Linked DNA regions of Cricetulus griseus. The protein of the gene in region 1 interacts with the protein of each later gene in a pairwise test. Links are inferred from orthologs where the notes say so. Each region holds a gene or a part of one and is shown on either strand. Other genes may lie near its edges.

Evidence for each region.
Region 2: the proteins of Mkrn2 (region 1) and Rack1 interact in binary tests that used the Homo sapiens proteins (3 or more experiments, as listed by UniProt). The two-hybrid records come from large-scale screens. The link is inferred for Cricetulus griseus from reciprocal best matches to the Homo sapiens genes MKRN2 and RACK1.

What each region holds. Positions count from the first base shown.
Region 1 is NC_048601.1:29,228,386-29,244,010, reverse strand, and holds part of Mkrn2 (probable E3 ubiquitin-protein ligase makorin-2), read left to right. Parts: intron 1-8,659; coding exon 8,660-8,788; intron 8,789-9,737; coding exon 9,738-9,919; intron 9,920-10,876; coding exon 10,877-11,184; intron 11,185-13,300; coding exon 13,301-13,515; intron 13,516-14,558; coding exon 14,559-14,669; intron 14,670-15,625. UniProt on the Homo sapiens protein: E3 ubiquitin ligase catalyzing the covalent attachment of ubiquitin moieties onto substrate proteins.
Region 2 is NC_048600.1:63,452,604-63,468,328, reverse strand, and holds Rack1 (receptor of activated protein C kinase 1), read right to left. Parts: upstream 9,778-15,725; 5' UTR 9,656-9,777; coding exon 9,547-9,655; intron 9,272-9,546; exon of another isoform or gene 9,204-9,271; intron 8,547-9,203; coding exon 8,375-8,546; intron 8,126-8,374; exon of another isoform or gene 8,046-8,125; intron 7,891-8,045; coding exon 7,743-7,890; intron 7,310-7,742; exon of another isoform or gene 7,242-7,309; intron 7,064-7,241; coding exon 6,968-7,063; intron 6,652-6,967; coding exon 6,541-6,651; intron 6,106-6,540; coding exon 5,965-6,105; intron 5,089-5,964; coding exon 4,978-5,088; intron 4,522-4,977; coding exon 4,456-4,521; 3' UTR 4,410-4,455; downstream 1-4,409. Other genes in the region: E3 ubiquitin-protein ligase TRIM41, read left to right, coding at 870-1,100, 1,598-1,620, 1,841-1,968, 2,326-2,927. UniProt on the Homo sapiens protein: Scaffolding protein involved in the recruitment, assembly and/or regulation of a variety of signaling molecules. Interacts with a wide variety of proteins and plays a role in many cellular processes.

The DNA.
Region 1 (15,625 bases):
CCCCGGCTGGTCGCATTCCTCATCCGGAGCGGAAACCCAGACCGCCGAGAGAGGCTAAAGCGAGACCCCTTTAGGAGCAGAAAGACGGCAGTAGTGGCTGGCTTGTTAGGCGAAATGGAGAACCAGAAAGCTGCCCTGTGACTGCTATTTTGAAGTAAAAAATAGTAGTTGGGTTGAATAGCAACGTCGAAACTCGGTTACTGGGGTTTAGTCCTGTGGATTTGCATGCTTGGGAAGTGCAGCTTGTGAGCATCCCGAATGTAAAAATCCAAATTTCGAAATGCTTCAGAATCCCAAACTTTTTGAGTTGCCGGCATGGTGCGACGAGTGGAAATTTCACAGCATGAAATTTTGTTATATTGAAATACAAAGTTATCTCGGAGATATTGTACAATTTTTTTTCAGGATATGTATATAAGCGTATATGAAGTGATGAGTTCTGTGTTTACACTTTTGTGCCATCCCCAAAACATGTACATGAAAATACTCTAAAGTACAAAACATTCAAGACACTCCCCAGACCAAGCATTTTGGATAGAAGAGCCTCAGCTTATACAAGTTTCAGTTGGTTTTTGTAAATTAAGAAACAGATGTAGTTTGGTTATGTGATAAGCATTTCATCTAATACCTTGTTGCTTCTCATTAGGGCGGGTACCTGATGCCTTTATGAAGAGTTCGTTTCGAATTCGATATAAGGGTTGAGCCAAGTACCCAGGGCCCAGGTGGCTTATGTTAAGTAGTTACCAGAAAAATTGCAGTTAGTGTCTGTGTGTTTTGTGTTTACTTGACACAAGTCAGAGTCATTTGGGAAGAGGGAACCTCAATTGAGAAAATGCTCCTATCATACTAGCCTGTGGTTCATTTTTCTTTTCTTTTTTTTTTTTTTTTTTTTTTTTTCAAGGCAAGGTTTCTCTGTGGCTTTGGAGGCTGTCCTGGAACTAGCTCTTGTAGACCAGGCTGGTCTCGAACTCACAGAGATCCTCCTGCCTCTGCCTCCCGAGTGCTGGGATTAAAGGCGTGTGCCACCAACAAACCCCCGGCTCATTTTCTTGATTGATGTGGGACGGCCAAGCTCCCTGTGGGTGGTGCCGCCTCTGGATTAGTGGTCCTACCTCTGGATTAGTGGTCCTGGGTGTTGTAAGAAAGGCTGAGCAAGGCGGGGCTGTGGTGTTGTGTGATGCTGTGTTGGCTGTACCTGACAAGACATCTTAATAAAGGAAGGGTTTATCCAAGATGAAGAGGGAGTCGTTGATAGGAGCTTGAGAGAGTTGATCACATCACACCTAGAGAGCAATGACGGTTGGTGCTCAGCTCACTTTTTCCTTTTTATTCAGTGTTGACTCCAGTCTAAGGAATGATACTACCATGTTCATGATGGGTCTTCCCACCTCAGTTGACTTAATCTACAAAATCCCTCACTGACATGGCCAGGGACTTGTCTCTTTAGGCATTGCAATCAGTGGCAACTATCACAGTCCTGATCTATCAGCTGGTCATCTTCCTCAGTGAGACAACCTCAGGACTGTCAGGGTTTCCCTAAGCTTAGCTTCAGAGTGGCACAAGTCTATTGCTAACATTGATTCTCATGACTTATGCCCACCACTACCCCGCTAAACTGTGAGTCTTAATTTCACGTATGTGGAGATCACAAAACACTTTTAAAAATACTGTGTCTGGAAGGGTGCAAGTGAGCCTGGGTGCGTGCATGCATGTGTGAATGCCATGCAGTGGTTTATGTGTGAAAGTCAAAGTACAGCCTACAAGGATGGGTCCTGCCGTGGTGGCAAGAGGAGATGGAATTCAGGCCCAGCAAGCATTTTCCCTCTGAGCCGTCTCACTGGCCCAGTGAAAGGTTTCTGAACATGCATGACGATAACTCAGAGTCAAAATGTGATGGATCCAAGGTGTTTCTTCTGTGCCACAGAGCTTGCTGCTCCTTGATGCTAAGCACAGGGTACACCAGGCGCTGTGCATGCCTTCATGCTACCCACTGCTCCAGTCAGTTCAGATTCTAGACTGTTATATTTTATGAGTTGCAGGGTGTGTGTGTGTCTGTCTGTCTGTCTGTCTGCCTTGCAGAGACATAGTGATTTAATTATGGAAAACAAAGTCTTTTCATATTTCCCTATCCATACCTCAGCAAGCATACAAGTACCAAATTAGCGTATCTTTGGATTGTGTTAAGTAGATTTTATTTCAAAAATTGCCATGTTTCATAAATTATTAGCTGAGTTTTGGTTTGGCATTAGCACAGGACTCCCAACAATGTCTGAAATGGCCCTATACACAACTTGGCTGTTGTGTACCACATATTTATGAGAAGCAGTGTTCTCAGTCCTGACGACTTTAAAAACCTAACATTAAATAACCTTCATTCTATAGTATCTAATACCACAGGGAGCTGGGAATCAGCTCACTGTCTTGCAAGCTTGTACTCGAGTTCTATCCTGAAAGCTCATGTGAAAATGCCGGGTATGGTGGCATGTTTGCTATCCCAGTGCTGGGGAGTCAGACACCCGTTTATAACCATGAGGATCTGAGTACCCACTGGCCAGCAAGTCTGGCCTACCTGGTGAGCTCCAGGCAAGTGAGAGATGCCTGTTTCAAAGGCAGTGGAGGTTCCTGAGAATGCTTTGGGTTATCGTTGTCCCAGCTCAAGTGAGAGTACACATGTGCACACAATAAATAAGTAAATGTCAAGAGGACACCTGATGTTGACCTCCAGCTACCACCTAGCAAGCTTCTCATGTCCATGCATCCACACACAAAGAGATGCTGCCATGGTGTGCTATCAGGCAATCCTGAATCTTAGACTGCAAATTACTTTGTGTTTGGAAAGAGTTGGAGAAGCAGCTTTGTAAAGAGAGACAACTGAAGCCCTGCAGGAACCCTGACTGACTCTCTTGAGGTTGGCCTTGGCTACATGGATGATTAGGACAGGCTGGGGTCTGTAGTGAACCATGTTTACATTGCCTGAAAGTCTTCGGAGTGACCCTCAGAAGGAACCTCCCCATTCTGAGGGTTAACCCCTCACTTCATCGTCCCCTCCAGTCCATACCTAACCCTCTTTTAGGGGGCTGGTCAACAGTTTCAGCTGCTGAGATGCCCAGGTTAAGCTCAGATGAGCGTGACCCAGAGAACAGGCAGGGTGTGCTCAGGTTGTATCTGTTACTGGTGACAGCACATAGAGAAGGCTGGGCTGGCTTCACTTCTGACATAGACTCCACTCACTAGCTTTCCTGGAAGCAGTGATTGTCACTTGTGAGTCTGCTTACAGTTCACCTCAGTTACTTGGAGCAGTGAAATGACTTGCATGGACTACAGCAGATAAGGGTCCGAATTAGCTGGAAGTTGTGGTTAATTGTATTGTTATTTTTATAAGATTTTATTTATTTATTTATTATGTATACAACATTCTGCTTCCATGTATATCTGCACACCAGAAGAGGGTACCAGGTCTCATAACGGATGGTTGTGAGCCACCATGTGGTTGCTGGGAATTGAACTCAGGACCTCTGGAAGAGCAGTCAGTGCCATCTCTCCAGCCCCTAATTGTATTGTTATTATTACTGTTATTATTGTATTGTTATTGTTACTGTGCATGTATATGTATATGATGCATATGATGTGCATGATTGGCACGTGTGTGTGTCATGGCTAATGTGTAGACGTCAGAGGACAGCTTTGTGGGGTCAGTTCCCTTCTTCTACCTTTACATGGTGTCCTGTTTTGCTTTCTGTTGCTGTGATAAACACCAAGACCAAAACCAAACTGGAGTGGAAAGGGTTTATTTGGCCTACACTTCCACATTACAATTCATCACTGAGGGAAGTCGGCAGGAACCTGGAGGCAAGAACTGATGCAGAGGTCTTGGAGGATGCTGCTTACTGGCTTGGTACCCATGACTTACTTGCTCAGCATGCTTCCTTATCTAGCTCCGGTCCACCTGCACAAAGTTGGCATCACCCACAGTGGGTTGGGCATTTCTACATAAATCATCAATCAAGAAAATACCTTACAAACATACTTACACGTCTATCTGATGGGAGCTATTCCTGATTGGTGTTCCAGCTTCCCAGATTACTTTAGGTTATGTCAATTGATAATGACTAACCAGCACAGGTGGACTCAGGAACTTAACACTGCAGTCGGGAAGGCTGGTTGCCCAGTGGCTTGGGAAGGTAGCAGTCAGATGAAAAAAACTCATGTGACATTGCACTGTAGCCAGTCCGCTATCAACTGTCCGGTGGAACAGGAGACCCTTGGTCATCGTCTGCTTAAGGTAATCTCTGGTCTTTTTTTCCAGAAGACTATCAAGTGTTCCTTAGCTCCCCAGGCTTATAGTTGTTTGGAGACAGGCTCTGACTGTCTTGTGGAGCTCACCATGTAGACAAGGCTGGCCTTGAACTCAAGGAGATCTACCTTCTCCCTCCCAAGTGCTGGGATAAAGGCGTGTGCCATCATACCTGGCCTTGTGTTTTTGTAGCCATTGTAAGCTTTCCCGCCACCATGTGTTGGAGCTTACCAGTCCTCATCTTCATTTCAGGCTTTTGGGTACCAGGTTGTTTTTGTGCCTTCAGAGTCCCAATTTATTGATTGGATGATTACAATATATTAGTCATTTTGTCTTGTTTTGTTTTCTTGAGACTGAGTCTCCTTTCTATGACCCAAGCTACTTGCAGTCCCCACCTCAGCCTGAGTGCTGGGTTACAGGTGTGTCCTGCTTCACTGCAGTCTTGGTGGCATCTCTCAAAGGCTCACCAAACTTGGTGTGATGGTATGCCTGTACTTTCAGCCACTTGATCTGAGGCAGGGAAGTTATTAGAATCACTTAAGTTCAGGGTCACCTGAGGCAATATATATAAAAACTTGGTCTCAGAAAATAAGAAGAAGTACCCAACAAGAAGATATATGGGATATCTTCTTGTCTGGGGGAGTCCCAGGATTAACCACCCTCACACCTGGAGACTGGCTAGAGTCATGGTGTTCAGCATATAGCTAGACTCTAGACCGAGGCTGTTACACTGGCTTAGCAAGATACACAGCCAGGTAGAGAGAGCAGGAGTTCAGAGGGCTGCTTCTACCCCTGTAGAAGCACTTTTCCTCCCCAGAGGTACCAGGTAGGGGTGCAGGGGGGCAGTGCAGCTTCTGCCTGTGACTCACCTTCCAGTCCCAAGAGGAAGTGGGCTTTGTGTGAATCACACCATGGTACAGTTGAGGCACAGTGGGAAACTGTCAGTGTAGGGACTGTGACTATACCAGCAGCTTTAGAAGCCAAAGGCTGTTCCTAGGCCAGCTCAGAGGTTATCAGTCTCAGAGCTGCTGTGGTGACTGACTCCTTTCCATGGCCTTACTTGCTCTCTCTGCCCCATCCCTGCCTGCTAAGAATGGAGTCCAGGGCCTCTGAATGGCACCCCATGAGCTTCGTCTTCAGTCCTCCATTCTTTCCCTTCCTTTTCTTTCATTTTCTTTTCTTTTCCAGTCAGCCTTCTAGCAAGTTACCGAACAGTGTCTGACTTGGGAGGTGTTTCCTGGGAAATCTGGGTAGCTTCCTAGAAAGTCCAGAGCCATGGCAGCTTTCAATTTCTGATCGTGAGATTGCTGTCCCTTTCATCAGATGGGGGGTAGGGGTAAGTGGGCCTGGCTAACTCTCGAGCTTTCTCCATAAGCTGGAATAAGGATTTTCAGCAGCCTGCCAGCCCCGCCACGAATTGGGCACTGTTCTCTGGTTCAGTGGAATGTGAACAGGCTCTACCCTAAAGTCCACTTCCACAGGGTTCTTTACCAAAAGGGAGGGGTGCAGGCCAGTAGCAACACAGCTGGCTGTAGTTCAGGATCAAATCTGCTGGTCCACTTTGGCTGATGAGGGAAATTTCTTGTGTGTGTATTTTCCTTTTTTCTACAAAGTGTTGTATGTAGCCAGTCTGTCATTTAGCTGTGGCAGTTCTCCTCTTCAGCATCTCAAGTGCTTGGCTTATGTGTTCTTAAGTAAATTTTAACATTTCTTTTCCAATAAAGCTGTTACAGAAACTTATTTCTGAGCCTTTTGTAAAGGATGTTTTACTTTCTTCGGGCCCCCTTCTCCCTGTGCTGTGCACATCTGAAGGCTGCTGGCCCCAGTAGGGGATGTTCTGGGGTCTCCAGAAAGCCTGGCCTGAGCAGCATGTCTCTCAGCTTCCTGGGCACCTACCTCATTTTAAGCATACTAGCAGTGTTACAGCTGACACCAAGGTCACCTGGGGAGAACTGGTAGCATGGTTCCCAGTCTGGGCTCCCAGCAGGCCTGCCAACACCTCACCACCATGCCCTTTCTTTTTGGTCCATTTCTCTCACAAAGTATGATCTTCTAGTCTCTGCTGACATGAGCTTGGGAACACTGGGGGGGGTGGGGAGGGGCCCGCTAGCTAGCGGCCTGTGTCTCCTGTCTCTGCTTTCCCAGCACTACTCAGACTGCACTTGGAAGGTTATGTCAGTGGGCCTTGGCCCTGTCCTTTATAGACCTTAATAAGAGCTGCACTCTGGGGAGCCTGAATAAAACCAAACTGAGCAGTTTACACTGCACCCGGGCGTTTACAGGCAGCATCAGCCTTTTGTTACTACAAAGGCAGTTACACAATGTGTTCACAGCAAAAGCATTGGAAAGTGCAGGTGCTGAAGTAAGGGAAATGCCACATGATGGCCTAGATTCCACCAGCCTGCTATAGGCATCACCAGCTTTTAAAGTTCTTGTCCCTTTATCCCCACCTACCTGCCACCCTCCTTTTTAACCCTTCGGTGAGTCCCCTTTATTCTAGACAGTTCAGTGCTTCCATGGATCTTAGTCTTAGCACACTAGTTTATGTTTATAATATTTTTAAACAAAATGAGATCCTGTATATGGCAACTTTTTTTTAAAGAATATTGTGTGTCCTGATTGGTTTGGTTGTTTGTTTTGGTCTCTTGTTTTTGTCAACTTAACAGAAGCTAGAGTTACATAGGAAGAGGGGTCTTGAGAATGCCTCCATCAGATTGGTCTGTGGGCAAGCCTGTTGTTGCTTCTTCTTGATTAGTAACTGATATGGAAGGGACAGTTCAGCTCACTATGGGCAGCACCACCCCTGGGCAGTAAAAGAAAGCAAGCTGAGCAAGCCAGTCAGCAGCATTCATGCCTTGAGTTTCTGTCCTGCTTTTCTTCAGTGATGGACTCTGGCCTGAGAAATAAATAAATAAATAAATAAATAAATAAATAAATAAATAATAAAGCTGGAATAAACTTTCTTCCTCATATTGCTTTGGTCATGGTGTCCATCATAAGGGAAGAAACCTTAAAAACATTGTGAGGAAGTGAATCTGATAGCATAGGCTTTGCCAGGGTGCCTGTGTCACACACAGTTCTGTGGTCCTGGTACATTCACAGTTGTGTGAGCAATCTCCTGAGCTCTCACTGTGAGAAAGAATACTGTGCTGTTCCTGTCTCCCCCTTAACTGCCAACAGTCCTCTGCTTCTGCTGTGGTGAATTTAACGTTCAAAATACCTCTGTTGTGATGACTTCTTTCGATTAGCACAATGTCCTTAAGGCTCATTCATGTAGTTTTGAGTTGGATATGTTTTCCTTTTTCAGGCTGAATAATACTCCATTATATGTACATACCACTTTTGTGGGTTTTGTTCATGAATTATTAACTCTTTGTTTTTGGGTGTTGTTTGTTTGCTTTTTACATTTTTTAAATTTTTTTAGCTGTGGAGCCTGTCCTGAAATTCTGTAAACCAGGCTGAGCCTGGAACCCACAGAGATCTGCCTGCCTCTGTCTCCCAACTGCTAGGATTAAAGGCGTGTGCCACCACCACCTGGCTCAGATTTGTCATGTAGCTAAGAATGACCTTGATTTTCTGATCCTGGCTCTCTGAGTGCAGGGCCTATAGACATATACCACCGCACCTGGTTTACTCTGTGCTGGGAATGGAAGTCGTGGCTTAACACATACTAGGCAAGCACCTTACCAGCAGAGCAAAATCCACAGCCTCCTGAGGGTGCTAGGATTTCAGGCTGCTGCCACCGTGCCCAGCGCCCCTTATGTCATGGATGCCACACTGTCTTCTTTGGGGCTCATTGCATTAGCCTCATGAAACAGTAGGTGGTGTCATCTCTACACTTAAAGTTGCAGCAGCAAGCATAGGGAAAAGGAGTTTTTCCCTGCCATTTAGTCATCTCTTTTAGCAGCTGCAGGAGAATGGGGAGAGTGGGTTTTCCTAATTATGAAACTCTTTTCTTACATATTTAACACAAATCAAGAGCTGATCCATATAGAAGGGTTTACTTGCATGTATGTCTGTCCACCACATGAATGCAGTGATCAAAGAGGCCACAGGAGGGGGCATCAGATTCCCTGAGACTGGAGTTTCATTTGGTTGTTAGCTGAAGTATGGGTGCTAGGAACAGAGGCTGGGTCCTCTACAAAAGCACCAAGTGCTCATAACCACTGAACCATTTCTTAGCCCCAACATAGAAACTTTTGAGATCTTTTTCTTCCAAAAAGCTAGTCTTAGGTTATTGTGATGAAGTTTAGAATCAAGGAAGAAGATGCAGTATGGGTGGGGCTGTGTGTGTAGTGCTGAGAGGGCTGCACCCGCGCCCCCCCCCCCCCGTGTGACTCAGCTATTCTATGCTTGTCTCCTCAGATATTTTATGCATGGCGTGTGTCGCGAAGGCAGCCAGTGCCTGTTCTCACATGACCTGGCAAACAGCAAGCCATCCACCATCTGCAAATACTACCAGAAGGGGTACTGTGCCTACGGTGCGCGCTGCAGGTAAGGGTGCCTCCATCCCCAGTGGTAGGAATACAGGTGTATGCCATATACCTGCCTGAGCATGGGTCTTGATGAGGGAGATTTTCAACTTAGAGTTGTACTTAGAGTATTAATGATTTGTGACTTGCTTTTAAACCCCATATAACACATCCTAGACTTCCCCTGCCATCAACCCATCCCCATCTCCTCATCATGTGTGGGGTGTAGGGGGTGTGGGGGGGGTGTGGGTGTGAGGTGTGTGTGTGTGGGTGGGTGTGTGGGGGGGTGGGGAAGTGTGTGTGGGGTGTGTGGGTATGGGGTGTGGGTGTGTGGTATGGGGTGTGGGTGTGTGGGGTAGGGGGGTGTGTGGGGTGTATAGGGTGTGTGGGGGTGGGGTGTGTATGGGGGTGGGGTGTGTCAAGTGGGGTGGGGAGGTGGGTGTGGGAGGTGTTTGTGTGTGGTATGTAGGTGTGGGGGTGTGTGTATGGTGTGTGTGTGTCATAAGGTGGTATGCCATTTATTTTAAAGCTATTTCCAGTTCATGCTTGAGTGACTTCTGGCGGGGAGGCTAATGGCATTCATGCACACACAGCCTTGTTGCTCCAGACTGGACAACAGTGTGAGCCACTCCCTGCTTTGGAGAGCAGAGCCCATCTAGTCCTTGCTGTCTGGCAGAGCTTGAGAGTTTGAGTTAGCCATGTGCTTTTCCTCAGCCCACCTACTCACCTAGAGATTCCTACCCAAAGGGCCAGGACACTTGGTGGCATAGTGGAACACTTAGGTGTGGGTAAAGGTGATGGTGGGTATAGGTTACATGACCCCAATAGCCTTTTCTAGTTGGGAGTATAGAGACAGGCCCTTGCCCACCTCAGTCCAGCTGTTGGTCACTGGGAGGGCAGGTAGTGTGTAGGGGTGTGTGTGCAGGTGTTGGGGCCTGCGTGACCATAATACATTGTTTTGTTTTGTTCAGATATGATCATATAAAGCCCCCAGCTGCAGCAGGTGGAGCGGTAGGCCCTGCACCCCACTCTTTGCCATCCTCAGGCTTGCCCAGCCCTCAACCTTCTCCTGACATTGCCACATCTGTTGTGAAGACACATTTGCATGAACCGGGGAAGCGAGAGAAGAAGATGCTGGTGCTAAGAGACCGAAGTGAGTGACTGCAGCCTCCGCTGCCGCTGAGGAAGCAGCCTGCGGGCTTAGTGTTGCTTTCAGGCCTGCTCGCCAGGAAGCTCCTGACACCCCGGGAGCCCAGAGTTGATCTGAAAACAGGCTGCAGAGGTTCAGGGGATGCATGTCCACAGCTGGGCTGAGCTCCATTTTGAGTCCAGCAAAGCATCAGCGTGGTCTTTTGTCACCCTGAAGTTGCCTCTTATAAGGTCACCCACTGATTTTGAGGCCCCAGACTACTCATTCTGAAGCTGGGTGGGGTTTTTTGTTGTTGTTGTTGTTTTGTTTTGCTTTGTTATTGGGTTTTTTGTTTTTTGTTTTTGTTTTGTTTTTTTTTTTGAGACGGTTTCTCTATGTAACAGTCCTGACTGTCCTGGAACACACTCTGTAGACCAGGTTGGCCTGATACTCACAGAGATCCGCCTGCCTCTGCCTCCCAAGTTCTGGGATTAAAGGCGTGCGCCACCACCTACCTCCTGGCTGGGTGTTTTAATGGAGGGGGCAGGTCACATTCTCCTTGTTTGGTGCCATGTCCTGGTAGTGGCTGCTTTGGGGATCTGAGGAGCATCTTCAGACACAGGACAAGGAAGAGGTCTGGGCTGAGGCCAGGTTTGTGAGAAAGAAGTTAGCAAATGCTGTTGTGCTGCTGGACCTTGGGAAGATTTCCTGGCTCTTGGGGTTGTTCCCCTTGGGATTTCATGTCTTGGGTGGTTTTAGTATTAAATGGTCTATATATTGACATCTTTGTGTACTGTATAAAAAGACCTCATTCTCTTCTGTTGTTCTGCAGCTGCACTTGACCTCCTGGGCCATCTCCCAGCCTCTGCTCTGTTGTTCTCTGCCTGCTTTTCTCTAGCTATTCCTAATCTGGGCTAGTAGCTGACGTGAAAGATGAGCCTGTTCTCATGTCTGTTGCATTTGTGTGTATTTTGTGTTGAGATCTCACTGGCCTGGCTGAAGACAAGAGTGTCCCAAGCACAGTGAATAACCCGGGTAGCTGCAGTGATGCTCAGACCAGTCCGGAGATGAAGCCCCATTCCTACCTAGATGCCATCAGGACTGGCCTGGACGACTTGGAGGCCAGCAGCTCCTATAGCAGCAACGAGCAGCAATTATGCCCCTACGCTGCTGCTGGGGAGTGCCGGTTTGGAGATGCCTGTGTCTACCTGCATGGGGACATGTGTGAGATCTGCAGGCTTCAAGTCCTGCACCCCTTTGACCCAGAACAAAGGAAAGCTCATGAGAAGGTAACTTAAGCCTTGGCATGCACTCATTTTAAGAAACCTAAATGTACCACAGACAGAGTCTGGAGTCTCTTTCTTGTATGTCTATGAATGCCTATGTCTTGTACCTGGTATATTTTTACTCTATTTTCAAGTTCTTTTCCTGTTGCCATTTTATCAGTTTGTTTGTTTGTTTGTTTTTCTGTTTGATTCTTTTTTTGTTTAAATTAGAAACAATCTTACATATCAATCCCAGTTCCCTCTCCCTCCCCTGCCTCTCCCCCACTCCCATTTTATTAGTTTTTGATTATTTAGATCAAAGAAGAATAAGAAATACTAGAAATGCAAAGTTCAGACCTGGGAAGATGGCTCCCCAATTAAGACTACTTGCTGCTCTCACAGAGGACCAGCGTTTACTTCCTAGCACCTCCTTTAGGTAGCTCTATGCAACCTCCTATAACTCCAGCTCCAGGGGGTCTGACATCCTCTTCTTACTTCCACAAGAACCTCATGCATGTAAACACACACACACACACACACACACACACACACACTCACACTAGTAATCAAGCTTTAAGAACTGCAAAGTAGTGCTGGAGAGGTGGCTCAGTGATTAGGAGCACTGGTTGCTCTTCAAGAGGTCCCTGGTTCAATTCCCAGCACCCACATAGCAGCTCACAACTGTCTGTAACTCCAGTTCCAGGGGATCCAACACTCCTACACAGACATATGCAGGCAAAACAACAATGCACATAAAATAAAAATAAATAAATTGGGGACTGGAGAGATTGCTCAGCAGTTAAGAGCAGTGGCTGCTCTTCCAGAGGTTCTGAGGTCAATTCCCAGTAGCCACATGGTGGCTCACAACCATCTGGTGTGATCTGGTGCTCTCTTCTGGCCTGCAGGCATACATGCATGCAGAACACTATACATAATAAATAAATCTTTAAAAATAAATTTTTAAAAATATTAAATCATTTTTTAAAAAGAAACTTCAATGCATTCATTTCACAAAACATTGAGTAGATTCTTTGAGAAAACTAATGAGTAAAAGAAATGCAAAGTAAAGTAAACAGCCCCAACTCAGGCTCACCTGCAGCTGTGCCCACCTCTGTACCAGTGCATGCTCAGACTCTGGCACATCTTCTCTCCCCGGGGTTACACAGCTTGGGGTGGGATCCAGGCAGCCAATGTTTTGGAAACTTTGAAAAACCTTTATTATGAACTTCTCTTTGAATTTTATGTGTGTGCTTGCAGTGTGTGTGTATGAGCACACACGTATGAGTGCCTGTAGAGATGAGAGAAGTGTAGACTCCTCAAGCTGGAGTTATAGGCAGTTGTAAGCTGCCTGATGAGGGTACTGGGACCCAAATGCAAGTCCTTTGGAAGAGCAACAAGAGCTCTTAACTGTCTAGTTCCTTTTATCACGGACTCTTGGGAGCCAGTTGTTGAAAGGTCATGAATGTCCCTGTGTCTGCAGCCTCATTCCAGGCTGCCCTCATTCCAGGGTTATGAAGATGGGTTAGAAAAGGGAAGAAGCTCAGGGTTACAGTGTTAAGAGGCCAGGTCACCTCCTCTAAGGACTTGGTAATTATGTGGGATAAAATGGTCATGGCCTCTCCTGTGTCCAGGAGGACTGCTAATGCACATACTAGCAGACAGCATTCCTGGCAGTCCAGACACCATGGGGCAGTGGGGTAGCAAGATGTGGAACTCAGGTTTGGTCTGCTCTTTATCCACGTGCACAGAGCACTGTTGTGTGCAGCTCAGAGCAGGGGCCTGGGTCTTCTCATCTGCCTTCATTCACTTGGACTCACTTAGCTCAGTCACAGTTCTTGGCATTTCTGTATTGATGTGGCGTGGAATAGGCATGGCATCCAAAAGAACCAGAGACCTATGACCCAGTACTCATAAATGCTGCAACTCCCACAGTGATCTAAGTGCCCTAGAACTCCATGGCTGTTAAGCTGGTAGTGACCATAGCCTACTAGGGAACCTAGGACAAGGACAAGGTGGTTTGAGGTCTACTTTTTGGTCAGATCTTATGTCCTGAATTCAGGGATTGTAGGTACTGTTCTTAACAGCTATTGTGACTATGTGACTGAGCAATCCCTGGGGTCTTCCCTCCTGTCATCCTCAGATGTGTATGTCAACATTTGAACATGAGATGGAAAAGGCATTTGCCTTCCAAGCAAGCCAGGACAAAGTGTGCAGCATCTGTATGGAGGTGATCTTGGAGAAGGCATCTGCATCTGAGAGGAGGTTTGGCATTCTCTCCAGCTGTAGCCACACCTACTGCCTGTCCTGCATCCGCCAATGGAGATGCGCCAAGCAGTTTGAAAACCCGATCATAAAGTAAGTGCAGCTGGGCTTCTCTGCGGGCATGGGGGCTGCTGCCTCCTGAGCTCGGACCCCCAGCTGTGTGAGTTTGCACAAGTCATCCTTCCTGAGCCTACCTGCCTATGGCAGCCTCTCCCATCTCTCCATGTTGGGGACTTTACAGAACTGTCCGTTGTTGCTGGCTAGGTTCTGTCTTGCAGACCTTGTGAACTCGGGACAGTCATTGTGTCTGCCTTATGCTAGCTGCCTTTTTTAACCTTAATAAGGGAATTGATTCTCCCTTGATATATGGCTCCCTCCTGTGCACTTTGCTGCCTGGGGCATGTTGTTGTTGAACTTCCCTGTGTGCAGCAGCTTCACCCAGAGAGACAGAGTTCTGCAGTGTCCAGTGCTCTTCAGAGTTAGTTGCTCAGCTGACATGCAGTCTAGTTTTAGAAACTTCATCATCCCCCAAGCCTGTGCAGCCACCTGCCCATTCCTGTTGTCCTCTGTTAGGCAGCCTTCAACCTAGGTTCTTTCTCTACACATGCCTTACTGCTGGTCATTGTGTATAGCCTTTGCCTTAGCAAATGTTCTGAGGAGCATGCTGTATGGGTGAAGAGTGCTCTGGCTGAGAACAGCTTGTAACCTGCTCACCCGCTAGTGGGCATTCACACAAATCTAGACCCCAGGAGTGTCACAGCAGTTTGGCCTCCAGCTGAAGCTGTCTCCTCCTCTTACCTGCAGATAAGATTCCAGTTCCTTCACATCCTCCCCAACACTTGCCTTTATTTCTAATCTCAGCTGTCCCGGGAGTAAAGTGTATTTTATGTCATCTTGCCTGCCGTAGTCACTGAAGATAATGAGCATCGTTTTGTATGCTTACTTGCTGTCCTGGATGAATGGTCAGGTCTCTGTCTCTTACTGAGTTGAACCTTTTCAGCAGCACAAGCTGCTCTTAGAGAATGTGATTGTGTCTCTGGCCATGCATTTGAGCAAGGGGTTTCAGAGTGGAATGTGCAAAGGATTCATGATATATTTTCTCCCTTACAAACCTGATTTGTTTGTTTGTTCTTCAGGTCTTGTCCAGAGTGTCGTGTGATATCAGAGTTTGTAATTCCAAGTGTGTACTGGGTAGAAGATCAGAATAAAAAGAATGAATTGATTGAAGCTTTCAAACAGGGGATGGGGTAAGTGCCTTGATTTCAGAGGGGACTCTGGTGCCTGCCTGGCTGGGTGTGGTTTGAGCCTGTGTCATATGGACCTGGTGGATGGATCTGAGAGCTTCTTGCTCCTGTCAGGCACTTTGCTGGGCTCCGGGCTGCAGAGCTGAGCGAAGCCTTTTTGAGTTCTAAGATGAACCCTGGAAACTGGTGCTGAGGTTGTGAATGCTTGTCATGACACTTAACACATTCTGTCACCTAGTCTAGCCTCAACCTTCTGCCTCAGCCACCCTAGTGTTAGGATTACAGGCATGTACAACCAAACCTAGCATCTTTTTAAAAGAAATAGTTTTCTAGGAGTTTCTCACAGAATATTCCTATTGCCTTATTTCTGTCCCTTGTCATCCTATCATTGGTACTATGAGTAATATGTGTTATATTTATTACAAAACCCACAAGGCAACACCTGCTTGTGTTACCCAACAAGTACTACCATCAAAGGCTTACACCACCATGCCTGGCCAAAATTCACTTTTTTTCTTAAGTTTTATTGTTTATTTGTTTGTTTTTTTCCCCCTGTTGTTTTGGAAGTTTTTATATTTATCTAGTTACTGTAGCTTAATATTTACCCATTTTACCTTCTTTTCCCCTCCTGTCATACAATTGTCCATCCACAAGAGGGCAGATGCAGCAAGACAACTGCCTGGGCTCACAAAGGTGCTGTGCTGGTTAGAAGTCACCTCAGTCTGTTGATCTTGCCTGGCTGTGTCCCTTTGGTACATGTTCTTGAGCAGTCTTCAGAACATGAGCTTCTGCCAAGCGCCAACAGCAGAGAGATGAGTGAGACCATCTCTCATCATAGTGTGACAGGGCAGTGTGGTGGCAGATTTCCTCATTAATGACCTAAGCCAGAACAGAGAAAGCATTTGGTCTGTCTACCTTGGGTTTGAGAAGAAAACCACGTAGCCTGTCCTTGTGGGCTG
Region 2 (15,725 bases), on another chromosome or scaffold:
CACAGCTTATATCTTTAAACTAGCAAACTGGAGGTTGATGCCAGAGAATTGTGATTTTTGAGGCCAGCCTGGACTTTTGTCTCAAAAACAAAACAACTTTGCTGGCAAGAGGACTCAGTAAAGGAGTCTGCCATCAAGTTTGATAATGATAACTTGAATTTGATCCCAGTTACTTACGTGGTGGAAGGAGAAAACCAACTCCTGCAAGTTGTCTTCCGACCTCCATACATGTTCCCCCAGCCCATCTCCATTATAACATAGCATCTCCAATACAGTGATATGGAGTTGGTGCTGCACAGATCTGGAGAGAAGCTTCTTTAGAACATGTTAGCTTCCATTTAAAGAGTAAATTAGTTAGGGCAGAGAGAGATAGGTATTCCAGAAAGGAATTGGTGACTTTGGACCAGTGTGCCAGGTTTGCGCTATTGCACTGGCACATAAGACTGAGATGGGGAAGGAAACTTCTCTTTCCATTCTCAGAACTTCTTTGCCTGAGATTGAGAGTTAGCAGATAGAAAACTGCAACTATACCTTTCTGTGTATTCAGGTGGTGGCCTCCATTCCCTTTGCAGCTCTCCATTTGTTAATTTTTAAAATTTTACTGTATGGGTGCTTTCCGTGTGTGTGTGTGTGTGTGTGTGTGTGTGTGTGTGTGTGTGTGTGTATGTATGTATGTATGTATGTATGTATCCATTGCATGATTGGTGATCACAAAGGTCAAAAGAGAGCATCACTTCTCCTGGAACTGGTTACAGATGGTTGTGAGCTGCCACGTGGATGCTGAGAATCAAACTGTGGTCCTCTGGAAGAATAGACAGTACTCGTAATCAGTGAACTATGTCTTCATGCCTGCCTTTGCATCTTTTCAGAGTCAGATGAAGTCAGAACTGGCAGCTGTGGCCTCAGAGTTTGGGCGACTAACACGGTTTCTGGCTGAAGAGCAGGCAGGACTAGAGCGGCGCCTTCGAGAGATGCATGAAGCTCAGTTGGGACGGGCAGGAGCAGCAGCGAACCACCTTGAGGAGCAAGCTGCCCAGCTAAGCCGCCTGCTTGCTGAAGCCCAAGAACGGAGCCAGCAGGGGGGCCTGCGGCTGCTGCAGGTAAGCACTCTTGCCTCTGCCCTGCTTCATACTCCCCAGCTCCCTTTTTGTCCTATTAGGCAGTGCTCACCAGCCACTGCTCAGAACTGTCTGTTCCTCACTGGAAAGAACCCTAATTCTTTTAATCTGAAGATCAAACTTTTTCTTTCTTTCTTTTTTTTTTTTTTAAATATTGAGTATGATGCATGTGCCAGTCATACCTATAGAAGGCAGATTCAGTTGTTAGAAATAGGGGCTTAAGAGTTGATAGCTTGAGGAAGGTGTCTGGGTCAGATTGTGAAAATTCTGTTACTGGGGCTTACCGCAGGATGATATATTAGGTCTGGTGGTCAGGGTAGGTGAAGAGTGTTCATGTTTATTGTGATCCGGGAAGGTGCTGCTTTCTCCCTTCCTGTTGAAGCTCAATCTTTCTTTAGGGGACTGGGAGAGAGCAGTGAGCCTTGTGCAGCTGACACTTTCTCTTTTTCCCTCTCCCCCCTTTTGTCTTTTGTTCCCAGGACATCAAGGAGACTTTCAATAGGTATGTTACCACTCTACCCTTTGTGACCCAGTAGTGTTTGGGTCCCCACTCTTGCCTCTCTTGAGACTCCCTTCCTCCCTCCCTGTCTTCCCACCCTCTCCTTCCCTTCCTCCCAGGACCTAAGTTCCTGCTTCTTAGACCCTCCACTTCACCGCCCCCCCTTGGCTTTTGTTCTGGGAATATCATGTTCCCACCCCCTACCTGGTCCCCCCTCCTCCAGGTGTGAAGAGATACAGTTGCAGCCCCCAGAGATTTGGTCCCCTGACCCATGCCAACCCCATAGCCACGACTTCCTGACAGATGCCATCGTGAGGAAAATGAGCCGAATGTTCTGTCAGGCTGCAAGAGGTAGGGAGGTCAATAACCTTCCTTTGCCTTTCTTCTTACAGACCCGAGTTGAGGTTGAGGGAAGTTTGGGTAGCTGGGATGGAGTAGACTACTGGTGGCTACTCTGAGGGTTCAAGCCAAGAGTTGTTTCTATGGTGGCCCAGCTGTTTTTGGTAGGTGAGGTGCACAAAAAGCGACAGGGGAAGGCTGGCAGGTGGTAGAATTAGGATGAATGTTAGAACCCATAGATCCGGAGCTTGGCCCCCAATATGGGCTGAGAGCTTAAAGAGTTGAATGGGATTGGAGGGGATTATAGAGATGAGCCTGTGAGGGATAAGGTGTTTTAGCTCTGCTATATTCATCTTTCCTCTTTCCAAGTCGATCTGACGCTGGACCCTGACACAGCTCACCCAGCCCTTATGCTGTCCCCTGATCGTCGTGGGGTCCGGCTGGCAGAACGTCGGCAGGAGGTTCCTGAACATTCCAAGCGCTTTTCAGCTGACTGCTGTGTACTAGGGGCCCAAGGCTTCCGTTCTGGCCGGCACTACTGGGAGGTAGAGGTGGGCGGGCGGCGGGGCTGGGCAGTGGGTGCTGCCCGTGAATCAACCCATCATAAAGAAAAAGTGAGCTCTGGGGGGTCCTCTGTTAGCAGTGGGGACGCCAGCTCCTCACGCCATCACCATCGCCGCCGCCGGCTCCACCTGCCTCAGCAGCTTCTGCTCCAGCGGGAAGTGTGGTGTGTGGGTACTCACGGCAAACGATACCAGGCACAGAGCTCAACAGAGCAGACACTGCTGAGCCCATGTGAGAAACCACGGCGATTTGGCGTGTACCTGGACTATGAGGCTGGGCGCCTAGGGTTCTATAATGCGGATACCCTAGCCCACGTCCACACCTTCTCAGCTGCCTTCCTTGGCGAGCGTGTCTTCCCATTCTTTCGGGTGCTTTCCAAGGGCACCCGCATCAAGCTCTGCCCTTGATCAGCCTGCCACCCGCAGGGGCCCCTCCAGTCACTGCTGGGGGGGCGGGTGGTGGTGGATGATTGCCCACTATGTTTGTGAGCTCAGGCTCCTCCCACTGTTTGTTACTGAGTTGCTTTCTGCTCCTCCTTGAACCCAGGCTGCTTCCCCCAATAGGAGCCTAAAACAACTTCTAGACTTCCTCCAGCTCAGTCTTCTCTCACCTACTTTGTCTGACAGGTCTGCATGGGTCCCTGATAATAAGAACAGCTGCCTGATCTTCCCTCCCTGTCTGCCTAGCTCAGTCCAGCTCTGAGTCCCAGTTTGAGTGCAGGGATGAGTGGAAGTTTTGTTCCTTAACTTCTCTTTTCCACATCTACTCTTCAGTCTTTGTCATTTCTGAGGCTGGAGGGTTCGGGCAAGACCTACCCATTCCAATTCCATGCTTTGGTGCAAGCTCCAGTTAAGGGATTTGGAAGCTTTTGTGGGGAGGCAGGCTGGGCAAAAGGGTAGAGCTGTGTAAAGTCTACTTTTCTTGGGGAAGTAGGAACTCTTAAAGCTTTCCTTCCGCCCCCAATTTCTACCTCCATAGACTGGCCAGAATTTAGCTTCAGTAAGATCTGGAATGGTCAACGTGACACTGCACACCATTATATCACCCAATAAATTATTTTCTCTCTGTCGTACAGTTTTTATTTAGGAGCCCAGCTCCTCACACCTAACCCCTCCAAGTCTTCACTGCCAGGCTCTTTTCCCCTCAGTGAATTTCAGTTTCTGGCCTCTCAGCACCTTGTAGTTCCATTTGGTAAGCCCTGTTAAGGAGCTTGGGACAGGGGTCTGGATCCTTGGGAGAGCCTTGGGTATAATCTATTTTTCTAGTAACCCCTTGCCTTCTGTCACCTAACAGCTTTTGTCCTCTGCTTGTGGCTGAGGTCAATTCATGTTCTTGGGGTAAAAGGTGGGTTGTGTTGCAGATAATAAAGTGTTTATTTGCTGCTGTTGTGGAGTCTTTCTTTTGAAGCAGCAATTTTGCTTCATGAAGTACTTTCCCATAGAAGCCCTGGAACTGCTTCTTAGCTGTCAGGAGCATACAATCAACCCTGAATTTCTGGTTCTTTATGCATTCCTAGGGTTTCCTGTTTCAGTGAGGAATGGGAGGTCCTTATTCATGTAGCTTACTTAGTAAGGACTAAATGTTATACGTAGATCCAAGTAGATGGGGCTAAATTCAAACTGGGCAGAGAAACCCTGCCTTGGAAAAAACTATTCTGCTGCTATTGCTAGAATGAAGTGCAACCAAGAAGGATAGATACACCATTGAGGAAGGCAAACATAGGTGGGCCTGAGTTTAGGACAGACAGTGCCATGTTGAATGTCCCAAAGTTTCCCATCACCCTAATATTCCCTGGCATAGACATGTATGCAAGCAAAACACAACAAATGGGAGAAGGGTGGGTAGGCGGGCAAGTTAGGAACTTGCTCACTAGACAAACCATAACTGAAAAGATTTCAGAAAGCCACTTTATTTCTAAGACTCTGTCATAAACTTTTAGCGGGTGCCAATAGTCACTTGCCACACTCGAACCAGGTTGTCTGTGTAACCGGCAAACAGAGTCTGTAAAAGAGAATGGCAACAGGGTCATGCCCAACAATGAATTGTATGGCCCCCAAACAAAGAACTTGTCTAAGACATGCTCAGCACACATTCCCAGAAGAAACAGCTTGCTATACTTTTGAAGCCTCTTCTAGAGGTCCAAATCATGAATCATTCCCCAGATAGATTATAGTATTTTCTGTAACTAGTCACCCTTTATCATTTCATTTGTTAATATAATAGTCTTTTTGTTTGTTTGTTTTTTTTCGAGACAGGGTTTCTCTATGGCTTTGGAGGCTGTCCTGGAACTAGCTCTGTAGACCAGGCTGGCCTTGAACTCACAGAGATCCTCCTGCCTCTGCCTCACGAGTGCTGGGATTAAAGGTGTGCGCCACCACTGCCCTGCTAATATATTAGTCTTATGCCCGTGATATGAAGAGTAAGCTGGAAGCTGAGTTGGCAGAATCAAGTACTTACCTGGCCATCAGCAGACCATGCCAGGGAGGTACACTGGGGTGGCTCTGCCTTGCTGCTGGTGCTGATAACTTCCTGCTTCAATTCATCTACAATGATCTTGCCCTCCAAATCCTGAAAACAAACCAAAATCAGGTAAGGATGCCCATAACAATTATGCAATGGACTTTTATGGTCTGTAGTATGTTGTCATACCATAGCTTTTTTTTTTTTAAATGGAGACCTTAAGATGGCAAATTAAAGGGCCTTTGCTTGACACCTAAAACAGTTTATTCCTCAAACTATGGAGGAGACAGAATTCCCTGGCTATGGGCCAGTTATCCTGTACCACAGACAGTAATGAACTACTTGGAAAGCCTATTTCTAATTCAGATTTCCAGATTATTTTTTCTTTCAAGGACATATGAAATATCAACCCCCACCCTAGCAACCCACAATCATTTAGAGGGCCAGTGGTTTAGTTATACAATTGGAGCTACTTGGAAGGCTGAGGCAGACTGCCAAGTTCTAGATCTGACCATGTAACTTAGTCAAGATGACTCCTCATAAATGTAAGGTCAGCCTGGGTTACACACTGTCCAAAACATAAAAATACCACATAGAATCCCCAGTCTTTTAGTTGATACTAGTGGCACATGTGGTAGGGATTTGATTTATGCCTCTCATGCATTAGCTAAGTGCTCTACTACCTGCTACACACTACTGGGATTATTTTTGCTTATCTTTCATGGTGTGTGGCTGTAACTGTTAATGGTCATCTAGTGAGTAGATACCACATATGCTGACAAAATAGCCTCTCAAAGGAGAATTACTTTGGCCCAAATGACTCAACAAATTGCCAAATATGGGCATTCCCTTTTATTAGTCAAATGTTGCCCAGTGCTGCTAAGTGTTAAGAAAAAATAATCCCAACTTGTCAACTGACAGCAGCTGAATGATGAATCTACCAATAAAGCTTGAAATCAATGTGGTGCACAACAGATCACTTACCCAAATCTTGATACTGGGGCCTGTGGCAGCACAGAGCCAGTAGCGGTTGGGGCTGAAGCACAAGGCATTGATGATGTCCCCACCATCTAGTGTGTAAAGGTGCTTGCCTTCATTGAGATCCCACAGCATAGCCTGGCCATCCTGGACGGACATAAATGGTGAGTTAGGATAGATAAAGCTAATGGTTGAAGTGTCAGCGTTCATGGTCCTAAGACCTTCCCTGTAATGTATAATACGTATATCAACTTACTTTTATTTATGTATACAGTGTGTTTTGCCTGTGTGTAGCCCTAATCCAGAAGAGGACACTAGATCTTATTAGATGGTCTTGAGCCACCATGTAGTTGTTAGGAATTGAACTCAGGACCTCTGGGAGAACAGTCAGTGCTCTTAATCCCAGAGCCATCTATTCAGCTACCAACTTAGTTTTAAAGGAAAATTTCTTTGGTATGCCTTTCTATATATTTTATGATAATCCTTAGAAACATTCCCACATTTTAAGCTCATCTTTTAACTGGTACATGCTATCAGATGAAAGTGTTCTCCATAAATAAAGATCAGAGGTCCCCTAAATACCTTGCCTCCAGAAGCACAGAGGGATCCATCTGGAGAGACTGTCACTGTGTTCAGATAGCCAGTGTGGCCAATGTGGTTGGTCTTCAGCTTGCAGTTAGCCAAGTTCCATACCTAGGGAAAAAGGTGAGTGACCAGGATTATGGCCACAAGAAAGAATAGCATCTTCCTTAAAGGTAACTCATAACAGGTTTTTATGCAAGCGCATGTAATCCCAATATTTGAGTGGCTGACACAGGCCTATCAGAGATACAGAGTGAGATCTGGCCTCAAAAACAAACTCAATCCCTAATGAACTTAGATAAAGCATCAAGAGCCAAAGCCAAGGTAATTTAATTTGCAAAACATTCCAAACCGGAGTGATTACCATCTCAGAGGAATGGGAACATTTTTAGATTTCTAATGGGGCCAGGCCATTGTTGAAGCTCACCTTGACCAGCTTGTCCCATCCACAGGAGACGATGATAGGGTTGCTACTGTTCGGGGAGAAGCGGACACAAGACACCCATTCTGAATGACTCTCATCCTACAGAAGATGCAAGGTAAGTAAGAGGACTACAGATAACTACCCTAAGTGGGGCAACAGCACTCTCTGGCAAACCTATACTTCTGGATCAACAGAACAGTTGGTAAAGTCATTTGTCAAGCCTGCTGATTCATATTTGAGTCCTAGGATGCCTCCTCATGGAGCACAGTGCCAGGCACAGCTCAGAAACAGCCTCTGGATTTCAGCACTGCACCTCAGATGGCATGTTGGAGTCATCACTGCTCTGCCTGGCTTGTAGCCCCCAAGTACTTAAACATACTTCCAGGAGGTAGGTAGAGATTTTAAAACCCCCTAACCCTTAGGGAAGTTATGGGACACATCTGGGTATTTGCTCATGTGTAAGGGCCTGCCCAATAGATGCCTTGGCCTAGGGTTCCATGCCCCAACTCAGAAGAAAAATCAACTCCCAAGTCCCAAGCCACTCATGAGCAAGAATGCATTAAATATATAGTAAAAACCAACCAAATCCCAGACAAATGCCACACATTACAAAAGAGCTAGATGGTGGCACACAGCTTTGATCCCAGCATGCAATAAGCAGACCAAAGTTCTAGTCTAAGCAGGGTTACATAGTAATGAACCATCTCAAAACTGCAACAAAATCCCCAAGGGCTGGGAGATAACCTCTAACTTGTAGCCTTTACCTCCATCACTTTACCTGGACAGTGTATTTGCAGACACCGAGAGTATTCCATAACTTTATGGTCTTGTCTCGAGATCCAGACACAATCTGCCGGTTGTCGGAGGAGAAGGCTACACTCAGTACATCCTTAGTATGGCCTACAAATCGTCTCGTGGTGGTGCCCCTAAATGGGAGAACCTGGTCACTTTCTAGACAAATCTTATCCTTTTAGTCAGACCCTTTTCTTGGCTACATTGCTGCTCCAGTAGGCTCTATCACTCCACACAGCTTATATGTGGCTTTGTTCTATTATTAGCCCATTCTTGGTATGTGCCAGAGAACCCATTCAGAATTGCAGGACATGTCCTCATTCCCTTGTGGGGATTGGTTGACAATGTCTTCTTGTCATCACTAGGATCCTCTATTACACCTGCCAAATGCTCATCTAGGACAGCTTTCAAGATGAAACACTTATTTTAACAGCTGGCGGTACCCGGTAAAAACGCTCCAACTACACGACAGCCCTCTAGCTCCCTCCTCAAAGAGGTCAACACCAACATCTTACCCCACCCTCCATAAAAAAACCAATTTCCGAGGGAGACCACACCCTCGGGAATCTACCTCAATTTTGCCCAGCTCTCCCCCAAGGTCCCAAAGCAGCTACTTGCGTTGTGAGATCCCAGAGGCGCAGTGTTCCATCCCAGGAGCCTGAGAGGGCAAACTGGCCATCAGAGGAGATAACGACATCACTGACAAAATGGGAGTGACCTCGAAGCGCACGCTGTGGTATGCCATAGTTGGTCTCGTCCCTGGTTAGCTTCCACATGATGATGGTCTTGTCTGAAAAGGTTGGGGAAGAAATTACATAGGCACCCACACCTATATACTGGGCATAATTTACAGTGCTTTACGGTTACTGGTGTAATAACAAGGGGAGCATCACTACATTCAGTGAGAGGAACTGAAAAGATGTAAGGCACACCCGAGACTATGGGGTACCACACTTGCTGGGATTGAAACTCAAATCCAACCCAAGATTAATTTGTGTTGAATGTTTCCCCTCCATGTGTGCCCATGTTGTTTTTAGAAGAGGGTGTCAGATTCCCTGTAACTACCTACAATTGCAAGTCACCATGTGGGTTCTGGGAAACAAACCTTACCTAGTCCCCTTGAGGAGCCAGTTTTATCTATCATCACTCCAGCACAAGGCTAACTCAAAAGTAGCAAAGTCACTTGGGTGTGGGATAAGCAGACCACCTTTTGTGCCTTTAAGGGTTGACTAGAAATGCAGTAGCTATGGTAGAATAAGACAGTCCTAGCCATGCACCATGTCAAACCATACAGAAACGAATAAAGTGCCTGATAAGCTTCACACGAGAATGAACATAAATTTGGGCAGATAGGGAGACCTGGGTGGGCAAATCATGATAAAGATAAGTCATGAGGAAAAATAAAAAGCCTTAGTTTACGCACTGCTCAGAGCTCAGGGCCAGACGGCAGCTCAGAAACAGCCTCTGGATTTCAGCAAAGTAGCTCAGATGGCATGTTGGGGTCATCATTGCTCCGCCTGGCTTGTAGCTCCCTAACTACTTAAATATATCTCGAGAAGACAGACGAAGAGATTTAGTCACCTAATCTTATGGGAGTTATGCGACACCTCTCGGTTTCCGTCCATGTGCAAAGGGTCGCCCTAGTTGGGGCCCAGGTTCGGGTCTGCACGCCCCAACTCATAACTGGGTGGGGGAATGGACCAAGCCAGCCAACCCACGCGCCACCTGCGAAGCCAGGAGACGCGCAGTCCCCGGGAAACGCGCTATTTCGCCCGGCATGCAGCCCGTACCTCGAGACGCAGACAGAATCATGTCTGGGAACTGCGGGGTGGTGGCGATCTGTGTTACCCAGCCGTTATGGCCTTTGAGGGTCCCACGAAGGGTCATCTGCTCCGTCATGGCTGCAGCTGATACGAGTGTCGCCGCAGCGACAAGGATGGCACCGGATAGCTCAGAGAGCCAAGCACCACAGCGGCAGCCACAGCGACGCCGCGGAGAAAAAGAAAGAGCGGCCTCCGGCGGAACCGGAAATACCCGGAGAGCAAGGCGGGGGTTCCCATGATTCCCTGCTGCTCAAAGATGGCGTCACCAGGTAGTGGGAGGGGCTGGGCGCGGTAAGTCGCAATGTCGCCGTTTCTTCTGCCACGGAACATAATTTGGCGACTGCTGAACAAATGCGTTCTTAAGTAAGCTTTACTGGGTTTTAATAAAGGCTCCTCGGCAGATTAGTACGTGTTCAGGAAGGAAAAGTAAGACGACCGGCTCATCGCCATACTGCAGCGGCTCCTCCCTCCCCGGCTACGTGGCAGAGACGGCGCCCCGCCCTTTTCGCTTGGTGTTCCGGTTCCTGGGTTGGCGACTCCGATTTAAGCTATGACCTAAGGAAGTATATTTGAAGTTGCAATTAAAGGCGTGTGCCGTCCAATCTGGCCCTTTTGTTTTAAGGGATTTTTATTGGAATCCCTTTCTGTGACTCTGACCATTCCACAGAAAAGCCTGCTAGTTTGTCTTGTGTAGCCCTGAAAGAAGTGGCTGGACAGGGAAGCGGAGGAACACTGATAATTTGGTAACCTGATGACCTTAATCTCAACACTTAAGTTTGCAGTGGCCCTCCGATGTCACAGATCTCTCCTTAAATTTTACAACTTTTTTTTTTCGTTTGTTTGGTTTTTTTGGGGGGGAATTGGGTTTCGAGACAGGGTTTCTCTGTGGCTTTGGAGCCTATCCTGGAACTCACTCTGTAGACCAGGCTGGTCTCGAATTCCAAGAGATCCGCCTGCCTCTGCCTCCCTAGTGCTGGGATTAAAGGCGTGCGCCACCAACGCCCAGCCCGCCTATTTTTTTTTTAATTTTTAAATTTATTTATCCATATAGTGTTCTGCCTGCATATGTTCCTGCACGCCAGAAGAGAGCAAATCTCGTTATGGATGGTAGTGAGCCACCTTGTGGTTGCTGGGAATTGAACTCTGGACCTCTTGAAGAACAACAGCCAGTGCTTTCAACCTCTTAGCCATCTCTCCAGTTTAAATATTTTTAAAAAGGACCACCAGTTAGGATGGTAGCAACCACTAACATCTATGAACTAAAGGTCACATTTATTTATTTTAGTTCTGTTGCTGAACTGCTGTTTTAGGCTTTAGGATACAGCTATGAACAGAAGAAAGAAAGAAAAAGCCAGATGGCCATTTTGTTTGCAATAATTTACATCTTGTGGTAGAGTAAGGCAATGTGGTTAAGAGTGAAGTAGGGAGCTGGGTGGTGGTGGCGCATGTCTTTAATCCCAGCACTCGGGAGGCAGAGGCAGGCGGATCTCAATGAGTTTGAGGCCAGCCTATCCTACAGAGTGATTTCCTGGGCAGCTAAGAATGTTACACAGAGAAACCCTGTCTCCAAAAACCAAAAATAAAAAAAGTGAAGTTTGGAGTAAAGACATAGGCAGATGCGAAAGCAATCTCCTGTGATCATGTTCTATTGCAAAGGTTCTTGACTGGTATATGAGGGCTGAACAGTGAGAGTTGGCACAGAACCTGCTAGATTAGGGTAAGCGCTGAGCAAGGTACATTGAAGGCATTTGGAAAGGAACATGTTAGGCGAGTATAGTGGCAAGGCTGCTGCACCCTGTGGTTGCCCAGCTGTGCAAAGACTAGGGCTTCTCACTTAAGGCCACTTGCTTTCTGGGCCTCTTGCAGGCCCCCGCCCCCCCCCCCCCCCCCCCCCCCCCCCCCCCCCCCCCCCCCCCCCCCGCTCCTTCCCGACTCTCTGGACTACACAGGGTGCTGTCCTAGATGTGTTCCTTTACAGCCTGATGAGTGTCTTTTTAGGACCCTAAGGTTATATATCACCTGTGTCCTTGGTAAACCCAACTGAATGACTTTCATTTTCTATTGTTTTGTTTCTGTGGTGGTCCTGGAAGTCACCTGTCCTTACTCACCCCATAATCAGTTTGCTGCCCTTTAGGTGGGTCATGCTAGCACCTTTCTGTGTCTCTGTACTGCTTTTCGTAAATAGAAAGGTGAATCACTACACCCACATTCTAGCTTCCTTTCGATGAACTGACATTTATTTCCCTTTGGAAAAAAAAGTCATTCTCTTTTTCCTCTGGTCTTGGGGATTGAATCTAGACTGTCTTGCTAGACAAGCATGCTGCCAGTGAGCTACATCTCATACTCCTTCCTTCCTTCCTTCCTTCCTTCCTTCCTCCCTCTCCTCCCTCCCTCCCTCCCTCCCTCCCTCCCTCTCTCTCTCTCTCTCTCTCTCTCTCTCTCCCTCTCCCTTCCTTTCTTTCTTTTTTCTTTCCTTTTCAAGACAGGGTTTCTTAGGGGGCTGGAGAGATGGCTCAAGGGTTAAGAGCACTGTCTGCTCTTCCAGAGGTCCTGAGTTCAATTCACAGCAATCACATAGTAGCTTACAACTATCTTTAATGAGATCTGGTACCCTCTTCTTGTGTGCAGATATACATGGAAGCAGAAAGTTGTATACATAATAAATAAATAAAATCTTAAAAAAAAAGCGGGGGGGGGATATTTAAAAAATAAAGATCAGGTTTCTCTGCGTAACAGTCCTGGCTATCCTGGAACTCATTTTGTACAACAGGCTGGCCTCGAACTCACTGAAATCTGCCTGCCTCTGCCTCCCCAGTGCTGGGATTAAAGGTGTGGGCCACCAATGCCTGGCCCAGACCCTTTGCTTCCTTTCTTTTTTTCCTCTTCCTCCCTTACCGCCCTCTTTTCCTCTCTTCATCCCCTTCCCAAGATAGGGTGTCACTGTGCAGCTCTCTGGCTGACCTTTACCATCCTACTACTAAAATCAGAGGCCTGCTCCACCAAGCCCTGTTACCTGTTTTTTTTCTTGATCTCTCCCTAGGACGTCCAAAAGAATCAGCATTTCTGAGCTAGCCTGGAAGTCTAAGTTTAAAATGAATGCTTCCCAGACCTTCCTGGGATGCCTGAGATGGATGGGACTGCTGCAGATCCTTTTCCCAGGAACTGGAGGTTGGGGGCGGGGTGTGTGTGGGGCAGCCTTGCCCACAGAGACTCTGCCTTTCACAGAGTCCCTGCCTACCACTACCTTGCTCTATCTCTGCCACCCTCAGGTACCACCTTCTTTCCTAGGATTGTGAGACCCGGACTGAGACTTGTGACCTGAAGCTGCTTTCATCCTCCTTTGCTTGTTAGACCCCTACAGGGAGAATTTAAAAGTTGTTTTGGACCTCAGCTTGGCTAAGATGGTGATGCCAACCATAAAACAGGGAGAAAAGTAATGTGGTAGACCCCATGCACAACCGGACTCTGAAGGACTAGGGTTTCCTTTGCTAGTCTTCCTTTAGTTCCTTCACAGGAACCAAAGAGGATATGTGCAGGCCATTATGGCCTCTGGGGGACAATAGAACCTAGAGGGTCAGTGCCTTGTAATAGTGGGCATTTCTTGAAGTGTAGCTTGGGGTATGGGCCTAGCTGGCAGAGGAGCTGCCTTGCCTGCTCCTCACCCACTGGAGTTGAGCATCCCTTCATCACTTGTTTTCTGAAGCTCCCTTGTGGCATCATCAAATGCTCCTGTTTACTTCTGGGGGAAGGATCAGTACATTTGACTCTTGGTCTGCAAAGGTTCTCAGCTCCTGCTCTCAGAGCCACCCCTCAGCCACGGGACGCTTGAGTATCAGCCACACTCCTAAAATAAGTTGGCAAATCTTGGGAATGAGTGACTTCTGGCTCCTTTCTTACTCCCTTGTCATTCCTCTAGTCTTGTAGAGATGAGAAGAGTATTGGACACCCCCAACCCCCCACCCCCCATCCCCCAATTTGGCCTTTGGGAAAAGATTCCGGGTTGGCCCATACCAGGTTGGCAGAACCCTATTGATTGAGAAATAAAAGGAGCTTGGGATAAAGATAACCTTTATTAGAAAAACACCAGCCAAACGCAAGCCAGAGCGTGCCAAGGGCAGCAAGGCAGGCAGGCCAGAGAGAAGGGGTTCCCATCTGCCTTAAAACTCATCATCCTGACCTCACCTTGACCACGCCCTGACAGGCGTGGTCAAGCACACCTGTAGCCAGCTTCTAGCAGGCGTGGCTTACACTGTCCCCTACAGAACCTTTCCTGGCTGTGCCCACTGTTCTTTTCCTGAAGTTCAGCTGTGTGTCACTACACAGCTTCAGTGCTATGCCTTCTCTCATGTCCTCATGAACTGCTTCCATTCCTAAGGGAATTATCCCTTAGGAAACTGGAAAGGCTTCTGAGAAAGTTGGTCTCTGTTTTGTAGAAGCCCTCAGGACCCACCTAGTATACAGAGAGCTAGCTTTTTAAGCTGTGTGTAGCTCTGTGACCTTAGGTTCTACCCACTCTTGCCAGCATTCAGTACTCTGGAGGTGGGGTCTCTTTGTAGATAAACATGTGTGTGGTGAGAATCAGTCAGCCTTCTCTGGGCTCTAGGCAATGCAAATTCATGGTGACTGGTTTTGTCAGGCCCTTGTGTGGTCTCATGGGTCTTCTTCTGCTTCTCCTACTCTTCATTTTCTTCCACACAAGTCTTTATACATTACTTTTCTGCCTAGCAGGCCCTCCATAGCCTCCCCTCCCCTCTCATAACTAAAACTAAACTTCCTTGGATCTCAGCTGAGGTTGCTGGGAAGTGCTCCGTGACCCTCAAGTCAAGGTCAGGTCCTTTGGTGCTCTCATAGCCATAAAGAACGTCCCTTTTGAGTGTCCTGGATAGGGCTGGTCCGTTTCTGCCCACGTTTTATATTTCAGCACCATATTGAGGACTTGGACTGTAGAAGCTTCTAATCTTCGTGGTCTGCCTCACAGACTTACTTTTAAATGGCAAAAGAAGGGTGTTCGAGATAAGGGATCATTATGTAGAGTCTTGGCTTTGAGAATTTAGACAGAAATTCAGAAAATCAGAATTTTGTTCTGATAATAGTTTGTCTGTCTCTCAGTCAGTCTGGTCTCTCTCTCTCTCTTGTTTTTGTTTTTTCAAGACAGGATTTCTGTGTTCCCTGGCTGTCCTGGAACTCACTGTATAGACCAGGCTGGCCTCAAAACTCACAGAGATCCACCTGCCTTTGCCTCTGAGTGCTAGGATTAAAGACATATGCCACCACCTAGTCTCTTTAGGTTAAGAGCAAAGAGACTCTGGACTTGTGATTCTTCATAAAATCTAAACAAAACCGTTGCCCTATTGCAGCTTTCTTTTATTTCTTAGTTCCAAGATCTCGTTTTTTTTTTTAATTTTAAGATTTTATTTATTATGTATACAACATGCTGCTTCCATGTATATCTGCACACCAGAAGAGGGCACCAGATCTCATAATGGATGGTTGTGTATGTGGTTGCTGGGAATTGAACTCAGGACCTGTGGAAGACCAGTCAGTGCTCTTAGCATCTGAGCCATCTCTCCAGCCCCCAAGATCTTGATTTTGTACCTGCTTTGTCTGTGATGGCCCTTGTTTTCTCAGCTGGACATGACATAACTGCTCTAACATTTAAAAACTATTGAGGGGATCCTGCTGCCTCCACTCTGAGACCTGGAGAATTGGGGCAATATATCCATCAATACACAGATGCCATGGATACCGTTAGTAGGGTTCTGACTAGACCAGGTTGTCCTTCCACTGAGCATTGCTGAACACCAATGCATGTTCTGGCTATGGGGCCTCAGTCTACACTACTAAGTCTACAGGGCTTGCATTTACACTAGTGGTTCTCAATTGGATATTCAAACAATTTTTTTTTTAATGTGATGGGTGTTGTGATGTCTATGTAATGTGTATGCAATGCCCAAAGAGACCAGAAGAGGGTGTGGGATCCCCTTGGAACTGGTGGTACAGAGGGTTGTGAGCAGTCATGTGGGTGCTGGGAATAGAACCTGGTTGGGTTTTTTGTTTTTTTGTTTTTTTTTTTTTTTGGTTTTGTTTTTTTGTGTTTTGTTTTGTTTTGTTTTGGAGACAGTGTTTCTCTGTGGCTTTGGAGGCTG